3 linked regions of the Elephas maximus indicus genome follow. The protein of the gene in region 2 interacts with the protein of the main gene of each other region in a biochemical or structural test. Links are inferred from orthologs where the notes say so. Each region holds a gene or a part of one and is shown on either strand. Other genes may lie near its edges.

What was found.
Region 1: the proteins of DHX9 (region 2) and EIF2AK2 form a complex in vitro, tested with the Homo sapiens proteins (2 studies listed by BioGRID, with this or other methods). The link is inferred for Elephas maximus indicus from reciprocal best matches to the Homo sapiens genes DHX9 and EIF2AK2.
Region 3: the proteins of DHX9 (region 2) and AKAP8L form a complex in vitro, tested with the Homo sapiens proteins (2 studies listed by BioGRID). The link is inferred for Elephas maximus indicus from reciprocal best matches to the Homo sapiens genes DHX9 and AKAP8L.

The regions. Positions count from the first base shown.
Region 1 is NC_064844.1:27,163,383-27,170,606, forward strand, and holds the start of EIF2AK2 (interferon-induced, double-stranded RNA-activated protein kinase), read left to right. Parts: upstream 1-4,200; 5' UTR 4,201-4,498; intron 4,499-6,811; exon of another isoform or gene 6,812-6,964; intron 6,965-7,224.
Region 2 is NC_064842.1:46,178,560-46,185,803, forward strand, and holds the start of DHX9 (ATP-dependent RNA helicase A), read left to right. Parts: upstream 1-4,187; 5' UTR 4,188-4,317; intron 4,318-7,244. UniProt on the Homo sapiens protein: Multifunctional ATP-dependent nucleic acid helicase that unwinds DNA and RNA in a 3' to 5' direction and that plays important roles in many processes, such as DNA replication, transcriptional activation, post-transcriptional RNA regulation, mRNA translation and RNA-mediated gene silencing.
Region 3 is NC_064821.1:35,594,035-35,601,915, forward strand, and holds the start of AKAP8L (A-kinase anchor protein 8-like), read right to left. Parts: upstream 3,040-7,881; 5' UTR 2,934-3,039; coding exon 2,921-2,933; intron 1-2,920. UniProt on the Homo sapiens protein: Could play a role in constitutive transport element (CTE)-mediated gene expression by association with DHX9. Increases CTE-dependent nuclear unspliced mRNA export.

The sequences.
Region 1 (7,224 bases), on a different chromosome or scaffold from region 2:
CACTAAACCAAATGGGGGGAGGCAGGATGAAAAAGCAGGAAGGGACAGAAACTGGTTGAATGGACACAAGAAAGCTGGGGTAGAAAGGGGGAGTGTGCTGTCACATTATAGGGATTGCAACTAATGTCACATAACAATATGTGTATAAATTTTTGTATAAGAAATTAACTTGAGCTATAAACTTCCACCTAAATCACAATAAAAATAAGAGTTATGTTTATACTGTAGTCTTTTTTTTCTTTTTAGTCTATTAGGATCCCTGGTGGTGCAGTAGTTAAGAGCTTGGCTGCTAACCAAAAGGTCAACAGTTCGAATCCAATAGCCACTCCCTGGAAACCCTATGGAGCAGTTTTACTCTGTCCTATAGGAGCCACAACAGTTTTGCAACAGTAGAACTTTCAAAACTGAAGACAACCCTCTCAAACCCTGCTGCTGCTTTACTAAGTCTATGTAACAGTCTAAATCCTTTGTTTTCAACAATGGTCACAGCATCTACACCAGTAGCAGATTCCATCTTCAGAAATCACTTTCTTTGCTTATCCATAAGAAACAGCTCCGCAACCACTAAAGTTTTATGAGATTACAGCAATTCAGTCACATCTTCAGGTTCCATTTCTCATTCTAGTTCTCTTGCTATATCCACCACATCTGTAGTTACTTACTTCCTCCACTGAAGTCTTGAACCCCTCAAAGTCATCCAGGGGTTGGAATCAACTTCTTCCAAACTCCTGTTAATGTTGATATTTTGATCTCCTTCCATGAATCATGAATGTTCTTAATGGCATCTAGAATGGAGAATCCTTTCCAGAAGGTTTTCAATTTACTTTGCCCAGATCCATCTTAGGAATCACTATCTAGAGCAGCTATACAGCCTTATGAAATACATTTCTTAAGTAATAAGACCTGAATGTCAAAATTACTCTTTGATCCATAGGCTGCAGAATGGATGTTTCGTTAGCAGACATGAAAATAACATTAATCTCCTTGTACATATTCATCAGAGCTCTTGGGTGACCAGGTGCATTGTCAATGAGCAGTAATATTTCAAAAGGAATCTTTTTTTCTGAGCAGTAGGTCTCAACAGTGGACTTAAAATATTAGTAAACCATGTTGTAAACAGATGTGCTGTCATCCAGGCTTTGTTGTTCCATTATAAAGCACAGGCTGAGTTGACTTAGCATAATTCTTAAGGGCCCTAGGATTTTCAGAATGGTAAAAGAATATTGGCTTCAACTTAAAGTCACCAGCTGCTTTAGCCCCTAACAAAAATGTCAGCCTGCCCTTTTATGCTTTGAAGCCAAGCGTTGGCTTCTCCTCTCTAGCTATGGAAGTCCTATAGGGCATCTTCTTCCAATACAAGGCTGCTATGTCGACACTGAAAATCTGTTGTTTAGTGTCGCCGCCTTCATCAATTATCTTAGCTAGGTCTTCTGGATAACTTGCTGCAGCTTCTTCAACAGTCTTTGCTGCTTCACCTTGCACTTTTATGTTATGGAAATGGCTTCTTTCCTTAAACCCATGAACCAACCTCTGCTAGCTTCAGACTTTTCTTCTGCAGCTTCCTCACCTCTCTCAGCCTCCATAGAATTGAAGAGAGTTAGGGCCTTGCTCTGGATTAGGCTTTGGCTTAAGGGAATTTTGTGGCTGGTTTGCTCTTCTATCCAGACCACTAAAACTTTCTCCATATCAGCAATAAGGCTGTTTCGCCTTCATGTGTTCACTGGAGTAGCACTTTTTTGGGGGGGGGGGGCGGTTATTTTCTTTTTTAGCTTTAGAGAGTTTTTGTGTGTGTGTGTGTGTGTGTGTATGCTTTAGCTGAAAGTTTACAGCTCATTTCAGGTCCTTATTCAAAAATGTATACATATATTGTTTTGTGACATTCTGATGTTTTGTCACAAGTGACAACACTTTCCCCCTTTCCACCTCGGGTTCCTTGTGTTATTTGTCCGTTTTTTTTGTCCCTTTCTGCCTTCTCATCTTGCTTTTGGACTGGTGTTGCCCATTTGGTCTCAGGTATCTGAACTAAGAAGCACGTTCCTTACATATGTTATTGTTTGTTTTATAGGCCTGTCTAATCTAAGAGCTACAGCTGCTTACCAAAAAAAGGTCAGCAGTTCAAATCCACCAGGTGCTCCTTGGAAACCGTATGGGGTAGTTCTACTCTGTCCTACAGGGTCGCTATGAGTCAGAATCGACTCAATGGCAACAAGTTTGGTTTTTGGTTTAATCTTTGTCTGAAAAGTGGGCTTCAGGAGTTGTCTCAGTTCTGAGTTAACAGAGTGTCCAGGGGCCGTAGTCTTGGAGGCTCCTCCAGTGTCTGTCAGACCAGTAAGTCTGGTCTTTTTTCATGGGTTTGAATTTTGTTCCACACTTTTCTCTCCACTGTGTCCGGAACTCTCTGTTGTGATCCCTGTCAGAGTGGTTGCTGGTGGTAGCTGGGCACCATCTAGTTCTTCTGGGCTCAGGCTGGTGGAGATTTTGGTTCATGTGGTCCTTTCATCCTTTGGGTTAATATTTTCCTTGTGTCTTTGTTTTTTGTTTTTTTTTCTCATTTTCCTTTGCTCTGGATGGGATAGGACCAATAGATTACTGCTCACAAGCTTTTAAGACCCAGACGCTACTCACCAAAGTAGGATGTAGAACATTTTCTTTATGAACTGTGTTATACCGATTGACCTAGATGTCCCCCGAGACCATGGTCTCCAGCCCCAGCCCCAGCAACTTAGTCCCTCAAGGTGTCTGGATATTGGAGTAGCACTTTTAATCTCCTTCAAGAACTTTTCCTTTGCATTCATAACTTGACTGTTTGGTGCAAGAGGCCTAGTTTTTGGCCTATCTCAGCTTTCAACATGCCTTCCTCACTAAGCTTGATCATTTCTAGCTTTTGATTTAAAGTGAGAGACATCTGAATCTTCCTTTCGCTTGAACACTTAGAGGCCACTGTAGGGTTATTAATTGGCCTAATTTCAATATTGTCAAGTCTTAGGGAATAGGAAGGCCTGAGGAGAGGGAGAGATGGGTAATGGCTGGTGGAGAGCACACAACATTTATCCATTAAGTTCGCCATCTTATATGGGTACAGATGGTAGCACCCCAAAACAATTACACTAGTAACATCAAAGACCATCATAACAGATATAAAATAATGAAGAAGTTTGAAATATTGCAAGAATTACCAAAATGTGACACAGAGACGCAAAGTGAGCACGTGCTATTGGAAAAATGGTGGCGACAGACTTGCTCAATGCTGTGTTGCTACGAACTTTTAATTTGTAAAAAAAAAAAAAAAATGCTATATCTGAGAAGCGCAATACAAGGAAGTATGCCTGGGTTTGCATTTTGTTAGCAATGTTTCAGCTTCTCTTTTGGTAGCTCCTTTTTGTGTCTAGTCTTCAGCAATATTTTCTAAAGCGTCTAGAATATAAATGTACGATTCCAAGATTGTACCTGTTGCTACAGCATGTGCTTCCCAATGCGTATTAGAAAGACATTTTAATACTCCATCATCGCCTAAATATGTTTTAAGAATCGCCCATCAGTGAGTAGAGGTGACAAAGAATGTATAGGGTAACTGAACAGTAGGAAAAAACCCAACTGCTTCTGAAAGAGAAAGATGTCAAGAAGGTGTTTAAGTGGAACAAAAACAAAAACAAAACGAAACCTCATAATTTAAACAGCCTTGCCACGTGTGCGGCTCCCTCATGACGCTGTGTGAACTGACTGGCACAGTCTCATGCCCTGGAGCTGGCGCCCTGCTGGTTCCCTTCCACTGCTGCGCTCGCTTTTCTGTATGTCCTGTCGCTTGGCATCTACGGGTCTTTGCTTTGGACACCTGGTGCCCCTGTTTTGTTGACATCCTAAACATGTGCTTACCTTGCATATCGGGTAATCAGTCCCTGGAAGGATGAGTGGAAACAGACTGAAGGGAAATTATGTCCCCAGGCCTCTTCATTTCCAGCTTTGTAGGCATGAGAGAGAGCCAGTAGTGTTGGAAAGGGGTGCTTTGAGGTTTACTGGCCTGGATTTGAATTGCACTCTGGCGTCGCCACTTACCAGCGGCAGGACCCCGGGGTGTTAATTTACAGTTTCTTCTACTGTAAAATGGAGCTGATAATATCCACTTGCCCACCGCCACCAAAGCCAGCCAAAATGTTTGCGTGGAGGAGTTAACTGGGATCTCTGATCCCAGACGAGTGCCTGGCACCGCTGCTGGCGCCTGGGGACCTTGCGTCCTCCCCTTTGCCTGGAGGCCTTCTCTCCACACTGGGGCTGCCCCTGCTGCCCAGCCCGCCCCGCGGCGTCCCCCGCAAGCCTGCGGGTGGAGGCGCCAATCTCCCCCAGCCCGGAACTCATGCGGACGTGTGCGGGCACGCGGCTGGCTAGGCCGCCGCAGAGGAAGGCGGGGTTCGCCGGGAAAACGAAACTGAGAGCAAGCTGTTCAGACACCGCAGAGCTTCAGCGGACAGCAGCAGCGCGGGCTGAGCGGAGTCGTCAGGCGGTAAGGCCGGAGCAGCGGGCACGGGGCGAGCGCGGGGGCGGCCGGGCAGGCGGACAGCGGGGCGAGCGCGGGGACAGGCGGGGGGCCCGGCCCGGCGGCCCGGCCCGGCGGCTGGGCGGAGGCGCGCGCCGATCCCGCGACCCCGCCGGGAATGCAGACCCTGGTACGAGGCCCCCGGAGCCAGCGCCGGGAGAGCGGTCAGAGCCCCGCCGCGGTTGTGCGGGGCCCTTCCCGGATGTGGGCTGAGGGTCGTGGAGCGCGGTGAGAATTTTTATCAGAGCGATTCATACATCGCTCCCAGGCCGGCGGAGGGGGTGAGGATAGGCCCAACGACTTGACATGGGGAATGTGTGGAGGCCTGAAGTAGCCACAGCTTGATTAATAGTCCGTGGGTAGAAATCTCCTGCTTAGACAGTCACGGTGGTGTCCCACCCGCTAGCCCGGCACCTGCTCCGCCTCTACCTGACCCGCTACCTCTTCTCAACACCGCTATCAGAGTGTTCTGTAAATCAGAGCCAACTCTCACCTGCCAGGTACTCCCCCACTGGCTTCCCTTCTCATAAGAATCCTGTCTTCAGGCCTTGTCAGGGCCCACAAACGAGCCCTCTCGCTCCCTCCACACAGCGTCCTCGCTGTTACACTGCTGCGTTTGGGTCTTTGCACTGTTTCCGCTTTCGCCCCTCCCCGCCCCATACCTGCATGGACCAGCTCCTAGCTTCATCCTGTGCTTCCTCAAATGCCACCTTGTCAGAGAGGCCTTCCCTGAACACTGTATGAAAACACCACCACCCTGCCCGTCTTATCCCCCTCTCTCTCCTGCTGGCTTACTCTGTCACTCTTACTCTTCTGTCTCCCTTACTCTGCTTTGTTTTTCACCATAGAACTTATCACACTCTGATACTTATTATAAGTTTATTATCTGTTCCTCTACTAGTAAATAAGTCCACAAGAGCAGGGACTTATGTGTTTTTTTCACTGGCATAACCTCAGTGCCAGGTACATAATAGATGCTCAATAAATATTTGTTAAATGAATGGTAACTCATCAGTTCTCTTTTGAATTCCAGAATAATGAGATATCCTCTTGCTCATGTTCTCCTTAGTGCTAAGAACACCTTGCCAGAATGGAAGCTAAAAGATACACTCTCAGCTGTCAGTTAGAAACTATTTAATCTTGGACAGATTATACTCTTGTTCTTCATTTTGCCTCTTTGAACCAGAAGATCCATAACACTCAACCTGTAGTTTAGTCATTTATTAATTAGGTATTATTTGAATGCATGTTATAGGCCAAGCATTGTGCAGACTCTGGAGGTGGTCTGGTCTACGGAGGGCTCCCAGTTTGCTGGCAGGGAAGGTGGGCATAGCCAAAGAAACTTCTGGACATGAATAAGAGGGACAGATAATATTTGTTAGTCAGTATGGTGGAGATCTCCTTTCTGAAAATGATAACATAGAATTAAAACCAGATTTGTCAAAGATAATTAAAAAGAAACCTATTTCCTTGCTTCCAAACTCAAAAGTACTGTTTCAAACATACCAGTGCAGCACTTTATTAGTTTACATATACATTCATGTGTTCACGCATGTTCAAACTGGTTGTACTGAGGATTTGGAGCATTCTATAGGACTTTAGAGTATAATTGCCAGGGGCTCTCTTGTCACTGCAGTTCTGAGATCTGTGACCCCTTCAGCTGGATATGTGGCCTCATGGTCGTGACTAACTAAATGACACGTTGGTTCCTGAAAATAATGGTGCAGTTCACAGTCCCTTATTCAAAACCCTTGGGCCAGATTTGTTCCAGAATTCAGAGATTTTTGGATTTTAGAAAGGCAATGCAGTGTAAATACTACTTATTATAGAATGCCCTTGGAGGGATTTGGGGCGGTACCTCATAATAAAACATATTAGTATTTCTGCAGTGACAAGTTATATAGGTAACAAAGTATAATAGAGACTCTAAATGGCTCATGACTGTTCAGGTCAACACAGGTAGCTCCAAACCTACCAAAATGAATAAATTAACAATAAACAAACAAAAACCCCTAGTTATCAGAACTATTTGGAGTTTGGGATTGCAGACCTGGTATACCCTTTTGAGGCCAGTTATGTGGGTGGGGTGGGGGATTCTGCTAAAGACTTTATATCTGACTTATTCCTCATGACAATCTTGCGAATCAGGCATTTTTATTCCTGTTTTCAGATCATGAGTCAAAGGCCCACAGAGGTGTCTAGTCCAGGTCTGTGTCGCTCTAATGCCTAAGCTCTTTCTCCAATTCCAGGCTGTAATGTGAATGTGCTTCCTTTTCTCAGACTCTAGGGACTTCCAGTGCCCTGCTTCCAGCTACCACTGTCTGTCACCTAAACCACTGCAGGAGCCTCACGTGGTCTCCTTACTTCTACTCATGTTCATGCCCCACGCCCATACTCTGTTCTTCACCAGCATCAGAGAGATCAGTCAAAAACGTAAGTCAGATCACATCACCCCTCTTCTTAGAGCCCTCCAGTGGCTTCCTACTGCAATTAGAATAACAGCTGGGTACTGACCATGTTATTCTGGAGCAATAAGCAACATCATGATAAATGGAGAAAAGATTGAAGTCAAGGGTTTCATTTTACTTGGATCCACAATCAACACCCATGGACGCAGCAGTCAGGAAATCACATGACGTGTCGCCTTGGGCAAATCTGTTGCAAAAGACCTCTTTCAAAAGTTAAAAATGTCA
Region 2 (7,244 bases):
TACAATTGGTCTCTATTTGCCTAGAGCAACAGAGGAAGATGGAAGTTCAGGAATAGGAGGAAGAAATGGAAAGTGTGACCAATTGTTTTCATGAACAACTGCCTCCTTTGCCATGAGACCAGAAGAACTAGATGGTGCCCAGCTACCATTACTGAATGTTTTGTTCAAAGATTCTATAGAAAAATCCTGATCAAAAGGGAGGAAATGCAGAACAGAATTTAAAATTTTCATGGAATCTAGTCTTTCTGGAGCCATAAAGGCTGGATGAACCCCTGAAACTGTTACCCTGAGATAATCTTTAAACCTTAAACCAAAAATAACCACTGAAGTCTTAAAACCAAACAATAGTTTAGCTTAACTAGTGAAGGATGTCTGCCTTGACCATTCTGTTCTTTTAAGACCTCTATGGGATTAAATTGACAACAACTGCTCAAAAGATTAGGAAATTTAGGGAGTAGTAATTTTAGGTTAATGGGGGAGGAACCACTCAGAAAAGGAGGGTAAGAATGGTTGTGCAACTCAAAGAATGTAATCAATGTCACTGAATTGTACATGTAGAAACTGTTGAATTGGTATATGCTTTGCTGTGTATATTCTCAACAAAAAAAACATTAAAAAAACAAAGGACTTGCCCTAAAAATTTATGTGTTTTAATGGAATATTTAAAAATATAAGGCTATATTGATTCTTCAACCAACTCAACATCATCAGAGCTACATCTTCATCCTTGGGGAGAAAGCAGAGGCTTGCCCATGTATCCTTGAATAAGCTTTCCCACCTTTTAAAGTATTTTTGATTAAATATTTAACATGTATAAAAGAATATCACATGTGTAAGGTGTAAAGACTAATATTTATCACATATGTGAAAGTGCCTGGTGGCACAGTGGTTAAGAGTTACAGCTGCTAACTAAAAGGTTGGTAGTACAAATCCACCAGCAGCTCCTTGGAAACCCTATGGGACAGTTCTCCTCTGCCCTGTAGGGTCCCTGAGAGTCAGAATCAACTCGATGGCAATGGGTTTGGTTTTTTTGGTATATGTGAGGGTGTAAAATATTCATTTGTTATAATTACTTTATAAGGAGCCCTTGTAGCACAATGGTTGAGCTCTTGGCTGCTAACCAAAAAGTTGGTGGTTCAAACCTACCTGTGGCTCAGTGAGAGAAACTCAATGGGGCAGTTCTCCTGAAACCTATAGGGTGGCTATGAGCTGGAGTCAACTCAATGGCACACAACAAGAAGAATTACTTTATGGTGTAGTACTGATATTTCATCAAATCTAAGATGCTATTGATTGTAAAACACCGTTATTTTACATACCTCTAAGAAAGGAAAAAACACTGACAAAGCATAACATGCCATCTAATTCCAGAGATACAAAAATGTTTTTGAGGTTTTAGAAGTGATAACGATATAGCATCTTTCCATTTTTAAAATGAGGTAACCATGACAAAGAGAGGTTAAATATCTTGAGTGGAGTTACATATGGTCTGTGGCAGAGCCAGAATTTGGAGCTTAACTGAGTGACACCAGACTATTTTACATCAAGAATCTCAAAACCTTATGTCCACTTACTATGTGTCTTTAACAATACCTCTTAGCCAATGTTATCCTTAAGATATAAACCCAGGGACCTCCTGATACAAAGAATCAGCTTCAGTATGGTACAAGGTGGCAAACAGTATAAAATGGTTGTATGGGAGGTAGAATTGCTTCATGGTTGTAAGTATGGCCTTAGATCCAGGCTGAGGGAATGTAAGGCCCAGCGCCACCACTTATCAGCTGTGTCTAAATTATACTTCAATAAAAAAAAACTAGATGGTCCAGGATTAACGAAATGAATTATTGAGTGAGTTCCTTCAGCTTGGCCTGTGTATAGTTGAAAGCTCTATGTGCAGAACAGTCCCCATGTCACCACCAACACTTGACGTTGTTCACTTTTCTAATTTTAGTTTTTAATGGGCAGGTTGTGATATTGTTTTAGTTGCATTTTTATTGTTACTGATGTTTTTGACCACCTTGAGTACACTTGGTAACCTTTTGGTTTTCCTCTTCTGAAAATTGCTTGTTCATGCCTCCTGAGGTTTAGTCAGCATCAGGTCCTCAAGCAGTTCCTCTTGGTTTGATCAGCCTCCACTCACTGGCCTCAGGCCTCTTTGGAACCAGGACCAAACACTGAATTGTTAGTGCAAGGGATAAACTACGCCTTGCATCTACCAAACTTAGGAATGAAGTCAATGTTTCTAAACTTATTTCTAGCCAGAAAGGTAAATGTGAAATGTTAAGTGGTCCAGTTGAAACAGACCTCTCATTATTTGACCTGTGGCCTCAGTTCCAAACTCTTAGGTAGCAAGAACGTTACTTATTTTCTTATAAGCTAAAAAAAAAAAAAAATTCCTACCCTGCTTTGCTAATCTCTGCAGTCTCCTAGATAGAACATCTAAGTGTAAATCCAGCCACTCTCTGGACTTCTGGGCCAGTTGAGTGCTTTCAGGTTTCATCTGCAAATGAAGATCTTAGAAGGTGCCAGTTGCCAGGGCAACCTACAATGGTAATGCCAGTTATGGGATCCAGTCCCTGGGGAGCTCTGGGTCTCAGGTGCAAAGCCTAAACTAAGAACCAAGTCAATAACAAAATTCTCCTTAATCCCTGAAAGTTAAAGATCCACTTCTGAAAATTTTATTTGCACTTAATGAAATATGTTGGCACTTTTGCTGTGTTCATTATCTACTACAAAACACTTGCAATCCATCTATGCTTGTTGATTCCTTATTAAGAGCATAAATAAGTATCAATAACACCTGCAGCTTAAGCACGCTGAAGGATACAAAAGAAAGAAAAGATTAAGGTCTTTCAATGATTTGATTCTCAATTCACATAAGGAAAATAAAAGGATGAATAAATGCTAAACTGTATTGTTCTGATTGTAAGTGCAAGAGAGTTTTAAAGAAGGAATTGATCACTATAAACTAGAAGGGTTAAGAGAAAAAATGTCATGAAAGAGGTGAAAAATAAGGATGGATAGGTATGATGCTCTCGTATTATTGATTGGTCTGTAGTCTCCAGAACAACCCCAGCAAAAAAAAAAAAAAATACTTTGTATTGTTGCCTTCATGAGTGGTGTAATGGTTAAGAGTCTTGGCTGTTAGCCAAAAGGTTGGCAATTTGAATCCACAGCTGCTCTTTGGAAACTTTATGGGGCAGTTCTACCCTGTCCTATAGGGTCTCTGTGAATGGAATCCACTCCACAGCAATGGGCCTTTTTTTTTTTTTTTTTTTGTATCTAGTCAAGAGGAGCCCTGGTGGTGAAGTGGTTAAAGCAGTTGGCTGCTAACCAAAAAGGTCGATGGTTTGAACCCACCTGCTGGCCGCTCAGCGGGAGAAAGATGGGGCAGGCAGTTGGCTTCCGTAAAGATTTAAAATCTTGGAAATCCCTTGGGGCATTTCTACTCTGCCCTATAGTGTCGCTATGAGTCAGAATCTACTGATGGCAGTGGGTTGGTTTGGGTTTTATGTAGTTAAGGATATAAATTATTCTAACGACTGTAAAGACAAGAGGATATTCAATTTAAGCCGTGTTGGTTTTATTCATTTGGGTCGTATGAATGAAGGTCCCAGCTTTCATAGAGCTTATTTCCTTCTCAGGGGATGTTCACATTCAGAGTATCTGAATCACTAGTAACTTTCATTACCATTTATTGAGCCCCTATTTTTTATACGTATGTGCCAGGTACTGAGTTAAGCCTCGTCCTTTGTCTTCTTATTTAATCACTACAGTCCAATGAAATAAACACTAAAATTTCCAGTTCTGTCTAAGAAGGGCGTCTCTCTCACCAGAGGCCCTTATCACATAAACTGGGAAACATCTTGTTGCATTAAAAAGCTAAACACCTCCCGCCGTCCCCTCCCTAAAATATTCAAAAGCATTAAAACTAGCAGCTATGCAATGGCGCCCTAAGCGCAGCAAGCTCCCAGGCGGTAAGATGAACGCCGCGCGAGGCTGCAGCAGGCCCGCCCCGCCCCCACCCGGGCGTCCCGCCCCGCCCCCACCCGGGCGTCCCGCCCCGCCCCCACCCGGGCGTCCCGCCCCGCCCCCACCCGGGCGTCCCGCCCCGCCCCCACCCGGGCGTCCCGCCCCCACGCTCGCCCTCTGCGCATGCGTGCGTGCACTAACCCCGCCCCTCTCGCGACGGTCGGAGCCATTTCGCCGCCGTCTCCATGCTGGTTGGGGTGCGCTCTGCAGGCGTCTCTGTGGAAGGCCGGAGTTACGGGCAGCCCTAAGCGCGCTGTGCTCTCGGGCACCAGAAGGCGAAGACTGGTAAGGAGAAGATACACTTCCCATCCTTTCCACTCTGCGGGGCGGCTGGCCCAGAGGCCCTGCGGCACTGCAGCCTGGCTTTGTTGCGTAGCGCGGGTGGCGGCGGCGGGTGGGGGAAGGGACGAACGGCCCTGCGAGTCCCCGGATTGCGGATTGTGTGCGCTGCTCGCTGAGGCGCGCTTGCGCAGTTCGAGGCCGCGCTGTGGGCCGCTAGTCCTCCGCCCAGCTCTCCCTTCAGCCTCTAACGCGCAACCCCCGCTTCCTCCATCAGCCTTCGAACGCCGGTGGTGGCGCTGTGCCGCTAAGGGAGAGGGGGGTGACTTGTCTACTTCTTAGCCGGCGGAGACCCCAGGCAAGGCCTAGCGCCATTCATTCGTGCCGCAAATATTCGTTGCTATCCTACAGGCACTCTCATGGAGCAGTAAGCAAGTTAGAATCCTTGCCTTTCCCTCGAGAGGTTGCGGGGAGGGGCAGGCGATACAAAAATGAGTATTTGCAGGCTTTTGTAAAAAATAGTAATCAGAGTGTAAAGGCAGAGAGCTGCTTGAGATAGTGTGGCAGGGAAATGGGTCTCGGACGAAGTGGACTTTTGAGCTGATAACTGAAGGCCGAGAATGCGTCATCGAGATGCGGAGGCAAAGCAGAGCTGCAGAAGGGATTAGTTAGCCGTAAAGCCAGAAATTGGAAAGGGGCTGAAAAAAGAAAGGCCACGTAACTGGAGTGTGGCGAGAAGGATTTAAGAATAGATTTTAGCAACACTGGAAAAGGAAGCCATTTTAAGACTCTATTGCAGTACTCTGGGTGTGCAATCGTGCTGGCAGGGAAAGATGGAGAGAAGCGAATGGGTTGGAGACATTTTGGAGGCAGAATTGCATAACGGTGGCAGATGGCACATCTGGAGTCAGACTGCCAACCTTGCTTGGTATTCTGGCTGCTCCAATTACTAGTTGTGTTTTCTAGGGTAAGTTATCCTTTGTGTTAGTGTCTTCGCCTGTAAAAGGGGAATAATGATTAAAAAAAAAATCCCATTGGGAAGTCGATTCCGACGCTTAGAGACCCGAAGAACTGCCCCATAGCGTTTCCAAAGAGCACCTGGTGAATTTGAACTGCCGACCTTTTGGTTAGCAGCCGAGCTCTTAACCACCGTGCCACCAAGGTTCTAGAGCTGTTTTTTAAAAAAAACATTGCCCTTGAGTCGATTCCGACTCGTAGCAGTAGCAGTTCTGTAGGATTATATAAATTCATGAAGATGATCCTCTAAGATACTGTGGCACATAGTAAGGGCTTTCAAAGGGGTTGCTGTGGATACTCCTGAGGAGTGGATGACTCCTAGATTGTGATGAAAGAGGTGGATGATGGTGCCGTTATGGAAATGGGAAGGAAAGATAGAGACAAGTTTGGGGAGGAAATTTAAAATTCGGTTTTTCCTCTTGGGTTGCAAAGTAAGCATTCAAATGAGTATGTTAATACTGCAGTTGGATGAATTATGGTTTTGGACTGAGCTTTCGGTACATATTTGGGCATCATTAGCATATAGTTGGTATTGAATATCTTGGGGTTAGATGAGACTATCTAGGAAGAAAGGAATTTGGTAGTGTAGTCCTTCTATTTCATGATACCGAGCCACCCTGAGGGCTTGTTTTTTAAATTAATCTCGGGTGGAATGTACAGCTAGGTATATTCAGCTTTTCGAGTAGGGTGGCCCTTCACCAAATGACTGATCAGGATTACCCTGTGGCCACAGAATAAATCTAACCTTACACCAAGGTCTGGTTTGATTACATTAGATTTAGGTGTTAACAGATGTACCAAGCATGAACAGAAGACAGAGGTTTAGTTTAACACTGGTAGTAGAGATTTCTCCTCACAGCAAACAAATCATAGGATATTTTCTCTGGTTCTAAATACAGACTCATATCTTGCTTGTAATTCAGATTCAGGTGCCAATAATCTGGGGTGCAGGGGGAGTGCCAGCAAGTATGATGCTTGTTCCAATGTCTTGATACAATTCAGGAAAACTTCATCATCAAGTAACAAGGCCTGAAGGACACATTTGGTACTCTGCCCCCTTACATTCAGACAACAGACTTTTTTTTTTTTTTTTTAAACAAAGTAATGAGAGGCAACCAGAGGATATTTAGCAATTTATAAGTAATAGCAAGCATTTATGCACTTGGCAAAGGGAAAATTAAAAGGTCGACTGCTCCCTGATAGTGTTCCTTACATTGTTTCCATTGTTAGAGTATGAAAAAGGATTCGTTCAGTTATCTCTCTAATGCGTTAAGCAATTTTTTTTTTTTTTTTAATTTTGATATTTGGTACAAGTATCTTAGGAACAGAAGTGAGTTACGTGGGAGCACTTTGAACATTGGGCTTCAGAAGGATTGAAGTGATGAGGCAATTTTAGAGCTAAGAGTGGACATGAGGGACACTTCGGAGGCATGTAAACATTTACTGAATACTGACTGTATTTGGACTTTATATACATGTACACATACACATATGTGTATCTTACACCCTTGAAGGTAATCTGTTAGCAGTCATATCAGAATGGTAGCAAGCCGTTTGTTTTATATACGATATGATTGATTTCTTAAATATAGTAGTTTGGGTTTGCGTTTAGGACGCCACAGTGGGTGTCTTGGAAAAGTTGCTTGACTTTTCTAAGCCCTAGTTATTTTCTCTGTTTAAAAGCAATTATGGTATTTATATAATAGTGTCTACCCTAGCTATCATTCGTAATGAAAATTGAGTTAAAATACATAAGGTGATTGTTGTAGAAAGTAGAACATTCCATAGAGGTATTTTTTTTTTTTTTTAAAGATACAAAAAAGTCAGTCACCCAAAGGTAGCCATTTTGAAGTGTTTCTTTTCAGTCTTGATTTATGCATATATACTTTTTATGTAGTTAAAATTACAAAGTTTAT
Region 3 (7,881 bases), on a different chromosome or scaffold from region 2:
TGGCAATGAGGATGGAAGAGTAGGAAGGTGAGGACTGGATCCATTTCTAAGCTTTGGGAATTGAATTCATGCTGGCCCTTACTAAGCAGTTAGCAGTGAAGGTGGGATGTACCCACTGTGCCCCTTGCTTAGTGCACCAAACATAAACAAAGTAACTGAGTTCAAAAAGCAAGAGTTAACACAAAGATAAATTTGAATCATCGTCTATGCTTAATAATGGTAACATTTGCCTCAGGGCCGCCAAAAGTTATCCTTAAAGGCAAATATTGTCTGGAACATGACTTTAAAATGCCTTTGACTTTTGTAGTCTGCTTCTTAAAAGGGAAAGACATTATAAAGCTACCATGGCTTTTAGTTTGCCAAAATCAAGGAAAAACTAATCATTTTTTCCTTAGTACTCTGTCCTATGGGGTCACTACGAGTCGGAATGGACTCAACGGCAATGGGTTTTTGGTTTTAGTACCCAAGTGCCCACCCAAAGCTAGAATTACAGCCTATGAGATGTGGAGATGAAATTCAGGCTTGGTCATTAGTGGCAATAAGACCTCAGTCAGAAATTGCTGGCCCTCTATAGCCAAGATCCCTCTCCTATAAAAATAAGTAGCTACTCCACAGCACCTAACCACTCATCTTGGGTTTCTTCAGCAATCCTGCCCGTAAAAACCACAGAACTGGCTTCCGTTCTCAGGAAAACTTGGTCAAGAGAATTATAAGCGACAAGAAATGCTCGACTCTACTGGCATTGCCATGGGAAGCTGTCCTATGTAGTGCTGGACATTTAGTAGCATTCCTGGCTATCCCCGGGTGGTACAAACAGTTAAGTGCTCAGCTACTAACTGAAAGATTGGCGGTTCAAATCTACCCAGAAGAAAAACCTGGCGACCTACTTCTGTAGCATCAGCCATTGAAAACATTATGGAATACAGATCTACTCTGACACACAAGGGGTCACCCTGGGTCAGAGTAAACTTGATAGCAACTAGTTTTTTTTTTTTTTTTTCTTCTTCTGGCCCCTACCCACTAGATGCCAGTAGAGTATCCACCCCCAGTGGTGACACTCAAAAATGTATCCAGACATTGCAAAATGTCCCCAGGGGCAGTAGCACCCCTGGTTGAGAACTACTGGACTAGGGGACGGTTGCTAGAAAAATTAGGGATCTTGCCAAACTCCTGATCTGGGAGCCACAGCGGAAGGACTGGCACTGCCTTTTTGCCCAACCAGTTGCTATGGAGTCAACCCCTGTTCATAGCGACCCCATGTGTGTCAGAGTATAACTGTCTCCACAGAGCTCTCAACGGCTGGTGTTTTGGAAGCAGACCACCAGGACTTTCTTCTGAGGAACCTCTAGGTGGACTCAAACCATCAGCCTTTCTGCCTAGGTCAGCATGAAGCAGCCTGCAGTGGCGCTCTGGAGGCCCGGGCCCCTTCTCAGCTCTGCTCTTGCTGAGTAGAATGCAGGTTACCCAGCAACCACGCACACTCAAGCTTTTGACACCCCCATCTACGGCTCCTGGGTAAGAAGCTGCATCTGTCGCTGCCAAGGCACACTCAAGAGGCCTCTGGGCATCACCTAGAGTTTTGCAATCACTCAAGCATATCCTGTGGCCCCCTGCAGAGAGTCTCACCCACCCCCTTCTTTGTTCCAATGCCACTGGTTCCTTGGCTGAGCATCAAACACGCCGAGCACACTTCTGCCCGTGCTTCTCCACCAACAGCTCCCTGGGCCAGACAGTCTCATGCCCCCTCTCCACATATCACCTCTCCACAAATGTCTCTAGCCTTCCCATGGACTGTCCTCCCCCAGATGAATAGTTTCGCCTACTGAGATCTGCCCCTCGCCTATCAGCTGCTGGGTAGATTTTTGTCCACATTCTCAGTGCCTATGTGACACCAATAGATTTCCAAGTGATGGAAATGAGTAAACAATCGACTATTAGCCAAAAGGCTGGCTGCTCAAGTCCACCCAGAGGCACATCAGAAGAAAGTCCTGGCGATCTGTTTCTGAAAAATTAGCCATTAAAAACCCCATGAAGCAGTTCTACTCTGTACACGTGAATGAGGTCACCACGTGTCAGGGTACACTCAACAACTGTTTTTTGTTCTTTGGAACAACCTGAGTGGCCCAAACGGTTAAGCCCTTCTCTAACTAACCAAAAATGTTGGTGGTTCAAACCTACCCAGAGGCGCCTTGAAAGAAAGGCCTGGTAATCTGCTTCTGAAAGGTCACACATCCACTGAAAAGCCTATGGAGCAATTCTATTGAAACACATGGGGTCGCCATAAGTCGGCATCTACTCGAAAGCAACGAGTATTAAGCACAAACACAGCAAATTTAACAGATGCTGAATATATCGTTGTGGCAGCCAACCCTTCCTCCCCCACAAGGCTTTGGCCCGGCCCGAGGGCTCCGTCCCAGCTCAAACCTTTCAGGTATTCATTTTTTCCTCCAGGGCCTGGCACCTCTCCCAGCCCCTAAACACGCAATGGGGGGTGGGGGGGCGGTGCGCTGAGGCATTTTGCGGGGATACAACGCGGAGGAGAGCCCGACAATGGCGACAGCGGACGGGACTGCTCACTGGTTTTAAGGCCCGAGGCCTGAGAAGCGGCGACCTAAGGCGCCGAGGCGGCTGGGGCTGGTGGGAGAGGAACCTCAGGAGCCGAGGACCGGGGGCCCCCGGACATGACTGCAGGAGCCGTGGCCTCAGGCGGCCAGTGCCCGGGACGCGAGGCTGGGAGCACAGAGAACCAAGGGGCCGAGGCGTACCGGGCGCGACCTGAGGCGACGGACTCGCGGCGCCATTTTGTGGCCGCAGAACGGACAGTGACCTGGCCGGGGAAGCACGGGAGAACCCGGCGTGGCCCCGCCACATTCCCCTGCCGCTCCCATCTGGGGCCCGGCGCCGCCCCGCAGGGATGTACCTGTGTAGCTCATGGCGCCGGCGAACACTACGCCCGGCTCCTCGACAGCTGCTCCGCGAGCCCGACGCCGCGATAGTGGCCACAGTCCCCCGAGCCCCTTTTACCCACAGCCGAGCCCCGCCTCCGGACCGCATTGGTGTGCGCCTGCTTCGGACTTCACATCTATTGGAGAATCGCCCTGTCTATCTCGGAGTGTCGTCCTGCCAGGGGCTGAAGATGAGGCCAATCCAGAGAGCCCCGCCCTACTCCCGCCCCTCCGTCGTTCTACCCCTGCGGTGATTGGTCTAGATGGGGTGGCAGGGGTAGAGGTAGGTTCCTGTGGGGCTCGACGGGGGCGAAGCTGTTGGCTACGGAAAGGCCGAAGGCCCAAGCTTGGCCGAGCAGGACGCGCGATTGTGCCCTAGAGGCCCGCCAGAGGGAGCCGGGGTTCCCGTGCAGGAACAGCTCAGGTCCCTTGCTCTGCCACCCATTAAAAAAAAAAAAAAAACCGTTGCCAGTGAGTCAATTATGACTCATAGCGACCGTATATGATGTGCAAACCTGGGTATCTGAACTTCAGCTCAGGAATGAACATGGTGAAGCCGTGCAGGAATGGGAAAAATTACGACTAAGCGCCAGCCACGGCGCTGGATCCACGATCAAACGTTAAATGTGATCATGTATAAAGAAATCAGTTCACGTTGTACAACATGATTAATGTAATTGATGTCACTAAATCGTACACTTGAAAAACGGCAATAAAATCAGTACAAGGCCTGGTGCATCAAATGTTGCATTTTGTAATTAATCTTTACTTATTTGTATAGTTACACAGTATATATAGAGTCCCTGGGGGGCACAAACAGCGCTTAAGCTCCACTACTGATCTAAAGGGGCCCTGGTGGGGCAATGGTTAAGAACCCGGCTGCTAACCAAAAAGTGGGTAGTTCGAATTCAGACCCACCAGCTGCTCCTAGGAAGCCATATGGGGCAGTTCTACTCTGTCCTATAGGGTCGCTCTGAGTTGGAATCGACTCCAAGGCAATGAGCTTGGTTTGTTTTGGTTTACTAGCCGAAAGATTGATTGTTCAAACTCACCCAGAGGCACCTCAGAAGACAGGACTGGCGATCTGCTTCTGAAAGGTCACGGCCTTGGAAATTCTATGGAGTAGTTCTACTCCGCACACGTGGGGTCGCCATACACACATGGGGTCACCACGAGTCGGAATCGGCTCAAGGGCAACTACAACCACTATAACATAGTACACATGCATATTATATGTAATAAACATTAATTGTATTGTTCATCATCTCATCTACTCCCTCCAAACCCTCCAGGAGCTATTTTTATTCCCCATTTAAAAGATAAGAAAACTGGATCTTAGAATTCATGCCTTGCTCAAGGCCCTTGATACTTGACTGTTAAAGGTGGAACTTTGCCTCTAAAGCCCTCATGGTTCACTCTGGACTTTAGTGATTCTGCAATAGTGCAGCCAGGTGCCTGCCTTGTCCTCAACACTCTCTCTGAAAGTGTTGAAACCACTGCCAGGGACATCTAATAATTTCTAAGAGTCAATTTGACAGACAAGAAGGCAAACACGTAGTGTGTGTGTGTGTGTTTGTGAAAATGCATCCAGCTGTAGAGTTAGGACCTGTATGCTTTTTGCTGTGCTTCACTTAAAACGTTTTTTTTTTTTTTTTTTTAAAGTGTCCTGTTGCCGACCTACTTTTTGAAGTTAAGGATTGTCATCAATTTTTTAGGTGTAATAAAAAATCAGTTACTGTCATCTCTGACTCACGGCAGCCCCATGTGTGTCAGAGTATAAATGTGCTCCACAGTGTTTCCAATGGCTGACTTTTCAGAAGGCTTTTCTTCTGAGGAACCCGCTGGGTGGCCTTGAACATTCAACCTTTCTGTTAGCAGCTGAGTTTGCTCGCTGTCTGCACCACCCAGGGACTTTTAACTGTAATAATGGCATTGTTTTGGAATCCATATACCTTAAAGAAACATACTGAAACACTCACATTAGCAAATTAATTGATCTGGTGGTCAGGATGTGCTCCACCATAATTCAGGGGGGAAAGGAGGGGACAGAGAAGGGGAACAGGGTTGGGGAGGGAGGGGATATAGCTGAAGAGATTGGTCATGAGTTGAAAATCGATGAGTAGATGCAGATTTATTTTACTGTTCTCGCTACTTTTGTATGACTGGAATTCTCCATGATAAAATCTTTTTAAAAAAGCAACTCCCCATACACCAATGTTCATCGCAGCACTTTTCACAACAGCCAAAAGGTGGAAACAACCCAAATGTCCATCGACAGTTAAATGGATTAACACAATGCGGTGTACACACACAATGGAATATTACTCAGCCATACAGAAGTCCTGATGCACGCCACAACATAGATGATGAGCCTTGAAAACATCATGCTAAATCAGTTGCAAAAGGAAAAATACTGTGTGATCTCACTTACATAAAAAATATATAGAAACCGAAGATTATTATTGGTTACCAGGGGAAGGGACAAAGGGAGAATTTTTGCTTAGGGGACATTGGGTTTATGTTCATGGTGGTGGAGTGATTTGGAAAAGCATAGCAAGAACACTGGCACAACTTGCAGAATGCAATCAGTATAACACGTAGAAATGGTCGAGATGGCATGTTTTGTAATATTTTGACAAAAAAAAAAAATCCTCCCCTCAAATTGGGGCTTAGGCAGACAGGACTTGCGGCCATGTGGGGCAAGGTTTTGATGCGTTAAGTGAGAAACCACAGAAGCAGCACACAACACTCTGACTGACGTGTACTCCAGCTTTGGGGTTCCCCTCCGTGTCACCCCTAAGGGATGCTTACCTGGTCTCCAAAACTAAGGCTTAGAGCACCTCTCCTGGGTCCTAGAGCGTCACTCACAGCACTGGCTGCCCCGGCCCTCATTTCACCCCATCTGTTATTGATTTAACACCCACGGCCCTCATAGACCATTGAGAGAGAGAATAGTATTGCTTAAGCAGAGAAGGGATGTGTTCAGAAATGTTTTAGGAAAAGATCCCTCTATGGCAAGGACTGTATTCAGCTCTTTCGAATAAAAAAATCCAGTAGAGTCAGGCAGGACACAAACAGGTAACACTGCAGTCAGCCATCTCCAGGGGATTGGTGGATCAATGGTAGACTCCTCACCTTCCACGCAGGAGACCCGGGTTGGATTCCTGACCAATGCACCTCATACGCAGCCACCAAGCATCCATCAGTGGAGGCTTGCGTGTTGCTATGATACTGAACAGATTTCAGCAGAGCTTCCTAAGACAGACTAGGAATAAAGGCCTGGCAATCAACTTTAGGAAATCAGCCATTGAAAACCCTGTGGATCACCATGATCCAAACTGCAACCCATCATGGAAGTGCTGCAGGACCAGGCAGTGCTTCATTTCTTTGTGCATGGGGTTCCCAGGAGTCATGGGTGACTTGAAGGTAGCCAACAACAGACATCTCCAATAGCTGACTGTAGGAGGGATTGTTGTTGGTTGATGTGGAGTCAATTCTGACTCACGGTGAGTCCAAATGTTACAGAGAACTGCTCCATAGGGTTTTCTTGGCTGTAATCTTAGTGGTAACAGATCTCCAGGCATTTCTTCCGTGGCACTGATTGGTGGGTTTGAACCAACCTTTAGGTTTCGAGTTCAGCACAAACCATCGGCAACATCCAGGGACTTAGCGACAGTGGTGAGGTTAAAAACAGCATGTGATCAACAAGGAGCAGCTAACGAGGTCTCTTGAAATCTCAGAAATGTTCAACAAACATCTGCAGCACAAGCATGTAAATAACATCGCAAGGGAGTCAGTGCTCCCCTTTCTTTCCCTCATGTCACCAGGGCTCAGGATGCATGTATCTTCAGAGAAGTCACCTGTCTCCAGGTCAGGTCCTTCCTGCTGGCCCCCCATGGAATGCTTCTGGCTGCTTCCTGCTCCTCCCTCCCTCCATAGGCCCCCACTCCCTTGCTGGACAGCTCCTGCCCTTAGAAAGCCCTCCCAGCCTCAGTTGCTTCCCAGCCCTGGCTCCCTGCACAGACCAGCCTCCTGGAGCCCTGGGTAGCATCTCCTCTGCTCACATGAGTCACCCCCCAGCCAGCCAGAGACTCCCACTACCCAGGGTGTTGAGGGCTGCCAGCTGGGCAACTCGGCTCGTCCCCAACTGGGCCTGGTTGGCTTGGTGGTCAGTAGGAAGCCCAGGCCAATCCCAGCCCTGGCTGGCAGCCAAAGCCAGCCTGTCCACCCAAGAGAAACACGCACGCTGGCTGCCTGCCCCGGTGTGTTTCCAGAAGAGAAATTTAATCTAATTTACAGACTTCTAGGTACATCGATAACCAAAAGGTTGCCACTGGAAAAAGTTAAAAGGTCAATCAGCCTTCCCGGTATTTACCTGGCCCAGGATTGCAAATTAAAAAGATCGACGTTCCTTATTCTCTACACAAAACGCATTTTTAAAAAAGTGAAGGGTCTAGGGAGCTATACATAGAAAGCAACAGTGAAAAGGTGGGAAGGGGGCAGGTTGGGAGTGGGGGGAGAAGAGTCCCACCCCCCCCGGACCCCCAAGGCTCTGGGGGGCCTAGACACGGCAGGACATAGCTGTCAGCTCTGAGCTCTGAGCTCTTCCCAGCTGGGAAGGCCCCTCAGGGAGGGGGGTGGCCAATGAGGGTTTCCGTGGCATCGTGGGCTCAGTGGGGGCCTCCCGGGCCCCAGGGGGCCCAGCAGAGGGAGCATGGCTTCCCCTGAGCAAGCACCATGGCGTGACGGGGCTGCTCGACGCAGGAAGTGGGGGGCTGGGGCAGATCCCGGGCCTCGCAAGGTGCGTGTGTGTGCATGCACGCACGTGTGTTTGCATGTGTGTGCATGTGAGAGGATAGTCACGGGGCGAGCGGGAACCAGAACAAGGGTCTTTGGGGTCTTTGCAAATGGTCATAGGTGGCAGACATAGCCTTGC